2 linked regions of the Neodiprion lecontei genome follow. The protein of the gene in region 1 interacts with the protein of each later gene in a pairwise test. Links are inferred from orthologs where the notes say so. Each region holds a gene or a part of one and is shown on either strand. Other genes may lie near its edges.

Region 1 (5,160 bases):
TTTTGCATAAACAGTAGTTGCACACCGCGGTCCATACCTACAACTGATTGTATGGGAAGTGCAGTTGCGTATAAGGAAATAGTGAAATTCACTCACCGAGCTCCGGTTCACATAACCATCAGGAGAGTTTATCAAAGTTAAGGTATCCTTATTCGTATCCAACCTTAAAGGAATCCCCGGTATGGCGGGTGGTGCTCAAAGTAGGTACTCGGTTTGTTTTAGTAATCGAACCACTGCACTCGAGTATATCAAAGCATGCTCGATAAGTGGGAAATCAAGTATGCTAAGGTAAGAAATAAAACGATAATTCAAACCGGAAGATCTTGTAGAGTTCACCGTCGGTTTTATGCCACTAAATGATGTCAACCTTTATTTTAATTAGGAAAACTGTTTCTATAGCATGAAAATTGTTCAATCAGGCACTCAGTTTTCCTTTTATCTAGCAACGAGTATAATTATAACAGTAAGAATAATAATATTCATAGAATATCACAAAAATCAGGGTTCTCACCTTATTTCCCTCGTCAGGAAATGGCTTTCGCACTGACTCATCGCTTTTAAATTGCGATTTAAACGCGTATCCGATTATAGAGATATTTTCTATTCAACAAGTTCGGATCGAAGGATAAAATTTCGAAAACTCGAACATCGCCGACCGGCAACGATTATCCGGGAGGCGTGGCCAGGACATTTGTCGACTCACGTCCTGCCGTCATGGTTTCAAAGGAAGCGTTGAACAGTTTCGTGCCGAGGTTAAAAGTAGCCGCGAAGTCCTTTTTCCCGGGCGCCCATCGCCCCGCAGCATTGGTTTGGACCAGGTAGCAGAGTCAGGTACGAATAGCTTGCCGAAAGTAGCATTTTCACTTGGATCATCTTTTATTTCGCCCGTCATGATAGCTTTGTGCTTTATCTTACCCCCCCTCCCGTAAAATCCGTTCCAGCTATTCCCCTAATTCGTGATGCTCGAAACAAGAGTGAAGCCATTCCTTCGATCGCTTTTTCAACCCTCTTCAAATTCCCGTGCGGCTCCGCCACGTTGGGGCAACCCTAAAGCGCCAGGCAACCCCCAAATCGACACCCCCTATCCAAATCTCACCCTGTACGTCGACGTACGATACACGCATGTGAACCGCCTGCATCTATTTCCCATTCAAACAGCTGTCGTCCTTCCTTCTTCTCTTTCTCTTCACATCTTCACCTCTCTCTCTCTCTCTCTGCCTCTCCCTCCCTTTTCCGTCCTTCGCTATACCGCGTTCGTAGCGCGCGTTCCGCTAACGTTGAGACTAGCTGACCAACCGGTTCTCAACACTCTGATTACACTCCTCTCGCGTTATTAGACTGGTCTCGGGGCTCTTGGAGATGGGATTTCTTCTTCACATCTTTCGCTGGGTTTTTAACTCCGAGTAGAGAATCGGACTTATAACGAGAGAGTATTACACTTTGACTCGTGTTCAGAGCTTGAGATTCGATTTGTCTGAAAACCAATGATCATACATCAACTATCCCTAAGAATTCAGCAAAAGGGGCTCATCAGACACCATGTGCACCTACAAGGAAAGCACCCGAGGTGTACCTCATGGATTTTCTTAATTCACAAAACTTAAACACGTTTTTTCGTTCAATTGCTGATTCGGTAATTCTGAGGTGTAAAAACCACCCTCAAGGCTCGGACCCAACAAACAATTTTTCAGGAATTTAGGAATAAAATCAATCGCACACTATTCACCATCAACAAAGAACGATATGCACAGTACAGTGTTTCCCATTCGAGGGTCGCATTCATTATTTTCTGGGTGTACGTTAGGAGTGATTCCCATCCTTTAAACGGCCGAATTGGCACCTGCAAAAACATTCTTGTCCAATATTTTACGATGCACAACAACATGTCCAAAAGAAAAAGAAAATCGGTAAGGTACATCTCAGCTATTTTCCTAATTGTTAGTCAGGAGATTCCGGCGATTGAAACGCAGAGTCCTTCGGGGTAAGCCATGAAGTGCACGGCACAGTCCCTATCTAGCATCCAGCATCCAGCGTACGTATCGTGGACCGTGGCCACGATCGCAGGAGGGAGAGTCGACGGGATCCGGGCGTCCTCTGAGACAGGCGAGACTCGAGTTGGGGCCGGCGGGCAGCCAATGCTGCCAGTTTGTTGGCTCCCTCCGCTGAGCGGCCGTTCCCGTCGCCGAACCCGAAGTCCTCCGACTCTCGAATGCCGCTCTGTCGCCGTCGTTCGCAGTTCCTCCGGCCTTTCGTGCGTTTAGTATGACGCCGACAATCGAACCGTCTGCACCTGTCGCGCTGTCTCCTCGCGGAAAAACCAGATCCAGGAACGAGTCGCGGATTATTCTGCTCATCGCTGGCTGGTGTCGTTTCCTCGATCATCTCAGGGTCTAGTTTCACTCCCGTATTTCAATCGAGACCGAGCTGGAATTCCGGGTGGCTTGAGGTACATTAACTATTTGGAAAATACCAATCGGGCGGAATTTTTCGTTGTGGATTTCCGCATTCCCAGTTACAAGTGAATTTCACGTGTGCTTAAACAGTGATCAAGTTTTAGATTCGATACATACACGTAAATATACGTACATACGTACAAGTATAAGTATAACGAAACTTTGGCAAACTTGTACGACCGTTTATTGTACGAAGAGTTTATCACTGTCGAAGAGTGCAGCGACATGTCGCTTTACCAACTTGGATATTAAACACTTTGACTGGTGAGTCTTTAACGAATCGAGTACAATTAGTCAATCTTCGGTCCTTCGAGGAATATGACAATTCTCTTTTTTATTACGAAAAATAATTGTCCCTACATACACAGGTGAAATTTTTATTCGCATTCCAGAAACCCAAATTGTGTCTAGAATTAATGTTTTTTTTTTTTTTTTCAAGCCACTCACGTGTGAATATAGTGAACGGAGCGTTGGGTGATAGTAGAGCCGATTTTCCCTTTCTCATTCAGCAAATCTAAGTGTCGTAAAATGTTACGTAAGCCGGATTCGATCCTTTCAATTAACAGTTTGAGGTGTAATTGTGCAACGATACAATCATTCGGATCTAACCGCCTTGTCGCACTGTTTTATATACCTATATCTTCTGACAGGTAGAGGAATAAAACGATTAATCTCAATTCATTGCGCCGCAAGGACACAACTTTGCTGCACATAATCACTAGAGTAATAGAATTATTGAGGTAACAGCGCTGTTATAACCCAGTCATTAATTGCACTTCTTATCGCAATCGACACGAATTCGCACTGCGCGATTTTATTCGCTTGAGGATGTCAAATGGGCTTCACGGTGAAAGATCCGTCGTAATTTCTTTTCAATTCAAATGATTATCAAACCGTGCCTAAATCGTGATCTCGCCTGAATGTAGGCAACGGCACCTGAGAATACCTAGCTGGAAGAAGCCGATGAAAGGGCCGCGCAAAAACGTGAGAAGTCGGCCGTGAATCTAAAATTTACTCTACGTCATCAGCTGCGGCTTCCACCAGTCAGATGTGCAGAGTCGCGTGCTGCTCCAAGCTGTTCTCGGCTTTTACAGTGCCGATGTCACTGCTCTGCGAGCGCTAATGGGACGCCGATATCCCATCCTATTTCGAGAATATGGATAAACACATTATTAGGTGAAAATGACTCTGCGATTTACGCTAATCGAGGTTGTTTGAAAATAAATTATCAATGTTTTTCAATCAGAAAAGCAATTTTAATAAATAACAAACTGTTAGAATGTTTTATTGCGACAACAATGTAATTTTTTAAGTAATTAAGAATAAAATCGTTTCAATTAAATTTGTTGAGTACTTATGCGACCAAACAAACGACTTTATTTCTACCTATAGACAACGTTTATTTCATTGAATAAAAATGTTTTTGTTCATTAAGCAGAAAGACTTATGAGTCGTATGAAATTGTTTTTTTTTTTTTTTTTTCTTTCATAAGTACGTCTGCATATAGGTAATTATTTGTTGGGCGTGGCTTTTCTATAAACAATCAGAAACAATCGTTTGATAGAAAAAAAAATGTTGAAGCAATGGTTCCGAATTCGATCTAGTTTATCGAAAGTTGTGAATTCTCAACTGGGTGGAAAGCTACTTTTTGCAGAAACGTAATGTATCGTGAATAATATCTGAATTACGTTGAACATTTTCGAGCTTTATAAACAAGGAATATAAAAAACGTATTGATAAATGGAAGCTGTTACAAACCGATTGGTAATATCATTCAAAACATTAATGGAATCCGTTAAGCGAACGTGCCAAATAAATCGCTAATGACGATGGTCGTACATTTCATCGATTCGCACAATTTTGCTATCAGGTAATTTACCGTTACGTCTTTTACCATTGAGAAGATGAATTTCAAGTGATTTAATTGACCAGGAATTCGGATACATGCATAGCCTTGTAGAAGATTCTATGCGTTCAATCGCATGCGCATAACCGAAAGAAGATGCAGGCGGTACAGTTTAAGATCGATAGAGTTGGTTTTAAAATCTTGCCCGACCCAGATAGAATTCCGCATCTCATAAACACCGCAGAATGATAAGTTATTCGTTTGCTGGTATTTACAAAACGTTTACAGCTGGTCTTACGGTACACATCCACCGCACAGTGTGAATAAATACGGGATAATTACGGTTATACTTGATAGTTGGTGTTCAGTTCAGTCGGCTAATTTGTCCCACATCAAGATAGGCAATCCCTGAAGATGCGGTCCGTGAGACGCCCGCACATCCTATCTCGAGATGATCGTCTATGGTAGGGGCGTAATGGCTCGGTCTACTCCTACTGCGCGCCTCGCAATTAGCCCGTAATTTCATTTGATTCATTAGCCGCGCCGGATCCACCGGCACCGTGAAGCTGGAAAAATATAACAACTTTGTCCTGCGCTTTCACGGCGTTGCTCGAGGGAACTCATCGATCCAGATATCTCCTAGATTTATGAAAAAATAGGGAAGTCGACTGGGTTTCAAGAAAGTGAGCTAGCCGTTGCAGACCTAAGAAAAAGCAAGACTTCAGTCTGGTAACTGGAAGTCGTCGTTGCAGTCTGTTAAGGTTCGAATATACGAAATTTCATTCCAATCGATAACATAACATAAATGTTTCTTTGAATGTTCAGTCATACAGCTAAATCTGTACGACACTAAACTCAGCG
Region 2 (8,199 bases), on another chromosome or scaffold:
AGTTTATATCCCCATTACGGTTTATCGTATTTTTGCATCATTTTATGATTGTTTTAATTTATGCAAATATAATTGAAGCAAAATATTGCTACAGAAAAATTGAATGTATTGTTTGTTAAAAAATGGATGCAATATATTATTCCAATAAAAAACTCTTCACATTATTTTTCATCTGCGGTATGATAACATTTTTTGTCTGAAAATAGAACTGCCATAATATGAATTTCCACCCTTGAGAGGCAATAATGGTTGATTAAATGAATATAAGGTGACAAGAACTTATAGTGGTCTCATGAAGAATCATTGATATTTAGGGTTTCGATTTGATCTTCAAACAATCAGTCCCCATCATCTCGCGAATAAATACAGTAAATATTTTCCGAAGTTTGATATCGTGTGAAACCTTTACGAAATTATTAATATACTTGTACTAGGTGAAATTCTGATTTTCAATTCAGTGTTTAAAAAACTTTAAGGGGGTGGTTTACTTGATTACGACGTTCTTGTATAAATTTCCAAATACCGAAATCACGTATCTCAAGCGCGAAAGAAGGGCCCAACAGCCCCATTTTATACGCAATTCTGAACAAACACACTCCGATATAATTTCATTTGACGCAGAAATAAAGAAATGGTATGGATTCTAAGAAATCGCAATAGTAAATTCGTAGAATTCATGCCATTTCTTTATTTCTGCATTAATTGAAAATGTATTGTATCGTTTTTGTTCAGCATTTTACCTTCTTCACGTTTGAGATATGCGGACTTTGATATTTGGAGATACATTCGCCAATGTCGAAATCGACCAGGGTACCCGCTTAAGGTACTGTACTCAACATTTTATTGGTCCCGTCAATTCGACGATATAATACACGATTGGGTAAATATCTAGCGTTTTGCGATTTAGGTGCATATATGACAACCGCTAAGAACGCGTGATGATGCGGGTAATTATACATTTTTAATATCTAACTAAAACGGTCGGTTCCGTTAGTTTCGTGTTGCGTGGCACATTTTTGCCAGTAGTGTGCTTAGGTCCGAATTTATTGGCCAATCAGATTCAACCTGTATCGTCTTTTAGTCCTTTAAAGGAAATAATAGTAAAGAAATACAAAAGGGATTTTTTACGATATTTATTTTTTTCCGATATGAAGCATACAAAAATGTTACGTGTGGAACGTGAAAGTAAGTGAATATTCGGACAACTATAGTATTGAGTATTCAGAACGGCCAAGCATCCAAGACTATAGTTGTAAAAACGATCGAACTGCTGTTTGATTAGAAATTAGGATTTACACGATATTGTTTTTACTACAATAAATCCCTGATTTGAATGTTTTGACCGGTATTTTGTGTTTTTTTTTTTTTGTTAGTCTTTACCAGCAAATTGATATGTGGTCTTCTATGTCATACATCATACGATGTCTGGTCATTTATTCCTCCAGGTATGAGTGTATCAAATTTGAGTAATATTATTTGGATTAGAAAATCTGAATACATCCCACAATAATGCCCATAAAGTCGACACCAGCACAAAGATTGGCAAATTTCTGTGAAGCACGAAATATTTTTTCTCGATATGAAGCGGTCTTAACATCAATGAAACTTATAGGATATATCAATTATATCACCTCACATACCGTGTAAAATTTTCAATAAAAATCACGAAAATTGGGTTTCCCTAATTTTCGAAAAACGAACGTCGTTTCGTCAGTTTTCGAAAATCTTGAACTTTCTCTGCATATTTCAAAAGAGTGCAAGAAACTCTACAAAATTTGACCAAGATCTTGGGATATGTTCCGATATACACTAAGAGCACTGTTCAGTGCTCTTACTGATCAAGTTTAATTAATGCTCATCGAAAAATACTGTACAGGCTGCCCATGGGTAAAGCCTCGATGGCGAAGCGTACCAACAACAGAAAATTCGGATGTCACGTGACAAGTGGGACGTACGCTATTGGCTGGAACATCTGGATTCAAACATTAGAATCCGTTGCCCGTTCAACACGAAACAGCAGCCAGTTGAGGGCGAGTAACCAAGAGAAGCGGCCTTCGGTGTTACTACGTGTCTTATAACTGTGATTTTAACCGATTTCTAAGTTTTATACCTATACTGGACTGTGGCTCGAATTACCCGGAACAACAAAGATGTCTAAACATGACAAAGACAACGTTATTCCCGATATAATCCACGATGGAAATACGGGAAAGAGCTATATTAAGGGTCGTTTCTTCGGAAAGGTGAGTCTCCTCGAATATTAATCAACGTGTTGTCTCTCTTGCATCCTTCCCATGCCGAAAAATAGCAAAATCCTCGATCGCCGGCTTTGAGGGCGAAGCCAAAGATGAGTCAATCCTAAAGCCATTTCAACTTTCTGGGAATCAGTAGATTGAAGGCGAATTGATCAAACAATCAGATTCTGACACAAACACATTAATTCCTTCGAACAGTATTGCGGGACAACTGATTTATCGTTATTACTCTCTTCTTTTCCGATTAATCATTCTTCTCTGTATTACACATCAATCTAAATCTTTCGTTCATGTTTTCTTTATTCCTTACAACTAATTACACTACGTTTTGCATGCAGTGTCAATAGTCCTGATTCGGGCTTCTGCAAGGTCAAATTTTTGAACACTGCCACCATCAAGCCCATTGTTGAATTTCTGTTGTGCCCGGAAATATATGCTCTGAGAAATTGATGTTATTACTGGTGGATTAAGTCCAAAACGTCATTTGTCATACAGCTTTCAGCCTTTCACCTAGATATATCCAAACACTTGTTGCTCTTAGCCTTGTAATGTTTTTCAAAAAAACATTGCTTTATTCAAAACCCCATCAAGCATTACATTAGCAGTAACTTACCATTCGAAATTTATTTGCTAATTTCACATAACATGCCCGCAAATGTCAGATAGAATTATTATTTGCCCAAAAGATATCTTTTAACAATAAAGTAGAGCGTATTAGTTACCTCGTGAATTCTGATATACCTTCAGTTCTAGGCTTCCTAATAATTTCATTTAAGCAAAACAGAATTTAGTGAAACAACTTTGTATCAGCTAATATTTTAAGGAATCATTTGATTGATAAAATATTGTTTAAGATGAATCTTATGAATGAAAATTTTATATTTTATAATGAGGAATGATCACAAAAAATATGTTGTGGCGAATCTGTACTATGTTATATTTTTTCTAGGGTGGATTTGCAAAATGTTACGAGATCAAGGAATCGAAGTCTCATCATGTATTTGCTGGAAAAATTGTACCCAAATCAATACTGACAAAAGTCAATCAGCGTGACAAAATGACGCAGGAAATACATATTCATCAAAGTCTCACACACAGACATATCGTCGGGTTTCATGGATTCTTTGAAGATATCCAAAATATTTATATCATATTGGAACTTTGTCGTAAAAGGGTAAAGATTTCACATCAACCTTTTATATTTTATGCATCTTTTCAGAGAAAGCCATATTACTTTTTCAAATGTAAGGAATATACGTTTCATTCATGTAAGATTTCTAATCACCATTTTCTTGTTTGCACAATATCAGACACACTTTCCTCCAGTATACAAATTGGAATACCATGGCGATATATATCTGATTCGTTATATTTATTCTTTCAGTCAATGATGGAGTTGCACAAAAGAAGGAAAGCTCTGACAGAGTGTGAAACACGCTATTACATGAAACAGATCTTGGATGGTGTCGCCTATCTGCACAAGAATAAAATAATACATCGAGATCTGAAACTAGGGAACCTTTTCCTAGACGACGAATTACAAGTAAAAATAGGTGACTTCGGATTAGCTACAAAACTAGAACATGATGGAGAAAGGAAAAAGTAATCTCCTTATTCAATTATTATTATACGTTTATGGGGATCAAGTTTGTAATGTTAACATGGTGATAATTGAAAAATTCATTTCTTTCATTCCTAAAGTTCCAAAATAGGTACTTAAGAAAAACCTTTGTTATGTTAATGTTATCCACTTCAAGCTTTATTTAGAGACATAATTGATCTAAAACTTATTCCAAGTAGCTGGTCTTCGAATGTTAATAAACTACTTTGATTTAATTTCGGAAAATAGAACTTTGTGCGGAACTCCAAATTACATAGCTCCAGAAATTCTGATGAAATCTGGGCATTCCTATGAAGTTGACATCTGGAGTATCGGATGTATAATGTACACTCTTCTTGTGGGAAAACCACCTTTCGAAACATCAAGCCTCAGGGAAACATATGCTAGGATAAAACAAGTGCAATACAAAACTCCAGCTTTTCTGAGCAAAGCTGCAATGAATATGATTGCCAACATGCTTCAAGGGAATCCCACTAAACGGCCCAGTGTTAACAAACTGATCAAAGATGTATTCTTCACATCTGGTATTAAATATTTACTTTCTCAGGTTAAAATTCATAAATTAGAAGCATAAACAGCTGCTTCGTACAGAAATAACCAATTTCTTAAAAGTGAATGGTACCGTACGATTTAAGTGTACAAATGAGTTGTCTGAAAGTCAAGAAATTAAATTCGTTATTATTTACCAAATTCATAGGATTCTTGCCAACAAGTCTTCCAATATCTTGCCTCACAATGGCACCTCGTATGGATGCATTGGAAATGCACAATCAGCGTAAGCCGTTAACTGAAATGAATGGAAATGGATGTGGAGATATAAATGATGTCCTATTCAGAGTTCCGCAAAGTCCTGCTCTCAAGGGTAAAGGTATCGAAATGAGTGAAGAAAAAAAATTGGGTCTCGATATAAAGAAGATGTTACTCACACTAAAAGAACAATTAGCAACTGTACTCAAAACTAAGCCTGCCGTGGACCTCATCGCTTTTGGAGGTACATAGACATATATGACGCCACACGAAAAGTAGTAAATTCACATACTATTCCAGCCACAAATATTACACTACTAACAACCAGTTTTAATTTCACTAATTGATACTGTATATTTCCAATACAGAACGGCCAAGATCCTATCAGATTACCCTGGAAACATCAGGCATGGTTCTTCCAATCCGTGTATAATATTAATATACAATGTGTTTTTGTTCAGTAATCAATGCTTCTATTGCTGCAAATTGAGGACCTATAACAGGGTGGCGACAGACTAAGAAATCCAGGAATAGTCAGGAAATTTCGTCTATCCGGAAAAGTCGTCTATCGGGAAAAGTCAGGGAATTATGATGGATTGTAGGGAAAAAACATACTTTTTTTTTATAATTCGTTTTCAGTCTTCAGCTATGCTTCGTAAATTCAGTTAATCTAACTTTCAGAAATGGTATTGTTTAATCTCTAATTATTTTGTGTGAAACAAAGCAATACTATTTGTTTTTTAGATCCAAATTTATATATTCAAGGTGCGCAATTTCGCGAGATTTTGGTCATAAAAGCTGCCCAATATTACTTAAGTTTTGTGGGAAAACTTCAAAGAATTCTGAATTTTCTGATGGGAAAAGTCAGAGAGTTTTATTTGAGCAAAATTGTCGCCACCCTATTATATCTACTTATTTCCAATATTTAAGACTACAATCATTACAACTGAATTGTTTTACTTTGAAACAGGTCACCAACATTCTAAGTAAAAATAATCAGTGAAAATTGTCCTGGTCAATCATCAAATTTTCGTAGCATGACTAGAAACTTTGCTCGTTTGAATTACCTTTATTCATTTTTAATCAACATATATCTGAAATTCATGCAGAAGTATCTCTATTACAGCAGATTGTTGAGTGTATCTGACTTTTTGATTGAAAACAAAGTAGATGTACATGTAAATTATTTTCACAAAACATCACCATACTTGTTATCTGGAATTGCTTTATTTGAGTCTGTATAAATACTTTGACTCTTATTTATTACCTGTTCTATTATCAACCAGTGATAAAAATGTTGGTCAGTTAAATGCATGACAGTAACAATATTGATGTGCACTGTTTCCCTGTGAATGAATTGCTGTTAACAGAGAAATTATTTGATACAATTGTGTATTCTTTCTGTCAATACCTATTTAAGGTGAACAAAATTCCATTGCTCTTGAACTTATTGCTGTTGTACTATAAGCAGTCTCTCTCTTAAGGTTCACACCTACTAAATTTGACGTATTTAGAGTGCATTTCGCCTTATTTTGGTGTTTTCTGAAGTTGAATGAGTAACTTTTCAACGTGAAATTTTTTTTTCGTCGTCATCGATGGTTCAACAACTCATCTCTGTCTTCCATTGTTAAGCACACATTGTATATTGATGTGTACGATACTAGATTTTTCAACGTGAACTCCAATGACGTGGTGTTTTTTTCTTTGTTCCTTTCTTTCTTCAACTACTTTAGATGAGATGACAGATCCAGATGCACAACCATTTGTTTGGATCAGTAAATGGGTGGACTACTCAGACAAATATGGTTTTGGATACCAATTATCTGACGAAGGAGTTGGTGTGATGTACAACGACGGAACACGTCTGATAATGCTTGCGAACGGTTTCAATGTTCATTACATAAATCGTGAAGGATCAGAAGAATACCATACAGTTAAGGACTATCCGGGTCACCTGGACAAGAAGATGAAGCTGTTGAACTATTTTCAACGTTACATGAATGAACATCTAATGAAAGCTGGGGGATCGGTGGCTGTTAAGCAAAGTGATTCAATGTCCAGGATTCCCTACATGCATCAGTGGTTTAGAACGCAAAGTGCTGTAGTTATGCAGCTGACTAATGGATCTGTACAAGTAATTATAACTCGCACAGTTTTTCTTTTTCATCTCTGACATCCATCTGTTTGTACAATGTGAAAAAATTGTGAAGTTCGTATGAACATTGTGACTGGCCAGTGTTGCATAAATATATATGTCAACTACTTTTTTTTCAGATAAACTTCTTAGACCACACCAAGATCATAATGTGTCCTTTGATGGCTGCCGTCACATACATTGATAGTGAGAAAAACTTCCGAACTTTCAGATTCCAAACGATTCAACAACATGGTTGCACTTCTGGACTAGCAAAGAACTTAGCTTACGCCCATGAAAAAGTTGGTTTTATGCTGGTTACTCCGCAATCACGATAGTTTCATAACTCAATCTAGTACTGATTAAAATAATTAAGCTAATGATTAACCATATTATCATCCAACGGACGAGTAAGCGACGCCACATTCAATGCAAGAAATTTTAATGTCTCTCAACTTTTTTGAAGACACTTTTTATAATTACTGCTAGCTAGGTATCCAGACAGCCTGTTGTTAATTTTAATTATGTATTATTTTTTATGGATAGGTCTATAGTATTTTTCTATAAGCTTTTTTTTATGTGTCGAAAAGTGAGAAAAGTAGTAGGTAGAAGTTGATAAAAAGAAAAACCAAGAAAGTGGAAGAAACTTTTGTGATCATTGAATGATATTTCTAAGCACAAAACGAATAACTATTGAACTTTTAAGTGCGGATGAAATTAATTATATGTGATCCCACCTTAATAAGATATATACGTACACATCATGCATTTTCAAAGCTGGAACTTAATATGATTGTGCTTTCTGAGGACACAGAATACTGGCACTTAGTAAGGTCATTTATTTCAAAAGTACAATAAGCGTGCTACCTCAGATTATTATTTAAATTTTAACAAGTTCAAGCAGGCCAACATTTCTGTTCCAAGGATTCGAAAAAGGGGGTTCTATAATAATTATAAATTAAGAGTTGGAAGAAAATGAAGGACTATTACAATAGATCAGTATCTGTACGTTATCCTTGTAAGGTATCTCAATTGACTTGTTTAAATTTAAGCAACTGTACATACGTAGTGGTTAATTACGTCTTAAAAGGAGTACGATGAATACAAATACTAATCTTCAGAAACAAAAAGCTTCAATATTTCTAATTACGGAGATGAAAATTTTCACTACTACTTTATATTTTTATACATAAATGATTGCGCAGACCCCCCAAATCAATGTCGGAGTATAATTGTACAAAATAAACTGCCTGCACATGTACATTTTTCATCCATTAAAGAACTTATTCATGTAAATGTATTCGGTTTTTTTTCTTGTTTAAACATTTTAATTGTATCTATAAATGTGAGGGCAGTTTGTTCTGTAGCGTCTGGTTACTTCACAACTTAAGCGCAGTATTCAATAATAATAATAATAATATTAAAGTTTCAATTTCATATTT

What was found.
Region 2: the proteins of uncharacterized protein LOC107226405 (region 1) and serine/threonine-protein kinase polo interact in a two-hybrid assay, tested with the Drosophila melanogaster proteins (2 studies listed by BioGRID). The link is inferred for Neodiprion lecontei from reciprocal best matches to the Drosophila melanogaster genes ko and polo.

Annotation. Positions count from the first base shown.
Region 1 is NC_060260.1:27,351,559-27,356,718, reverse strand, and holds the start of uncharacterized protein LOC107226405, read left to right. Parts: upstream 1-2,150; 5' UTR 2,151-2,446; exon of another isoform or gene 2,447-2,717; intron 2,718-5,160.
Region 2 is NC_060263.1:23,619,920-23,628,118, forward strand, and holds serine/threonine-protein kinase polo, read left to right. Parts: upstream 1-1,999; 5' UTR 2,000-2,150; coding exon 2,151-2,243; intron 2,244-3,204; coding exon 3,205-3,429; intron 3,430-3,639; coding exon 3,640-3,857; intron 3,858-4,104; coding exon 4,105-4,400; intron 4,401-4,573; coding exon 4,574-4,867; intron 4,868-6,356; coding exon 6,357-6,757; intron 6,758-6,897; coding exon 6,898-7,095; 3' UTR 7,096-7,675; downstream 7,676-8,199. UniProt on the Drosophila melanogaster protein: May play a role in regulating both nuclear and cytoplasmic aspects of the mitotic cycle. Regulates localization of the augmin complex during mitosis by ensuring its location on mitotic spindles.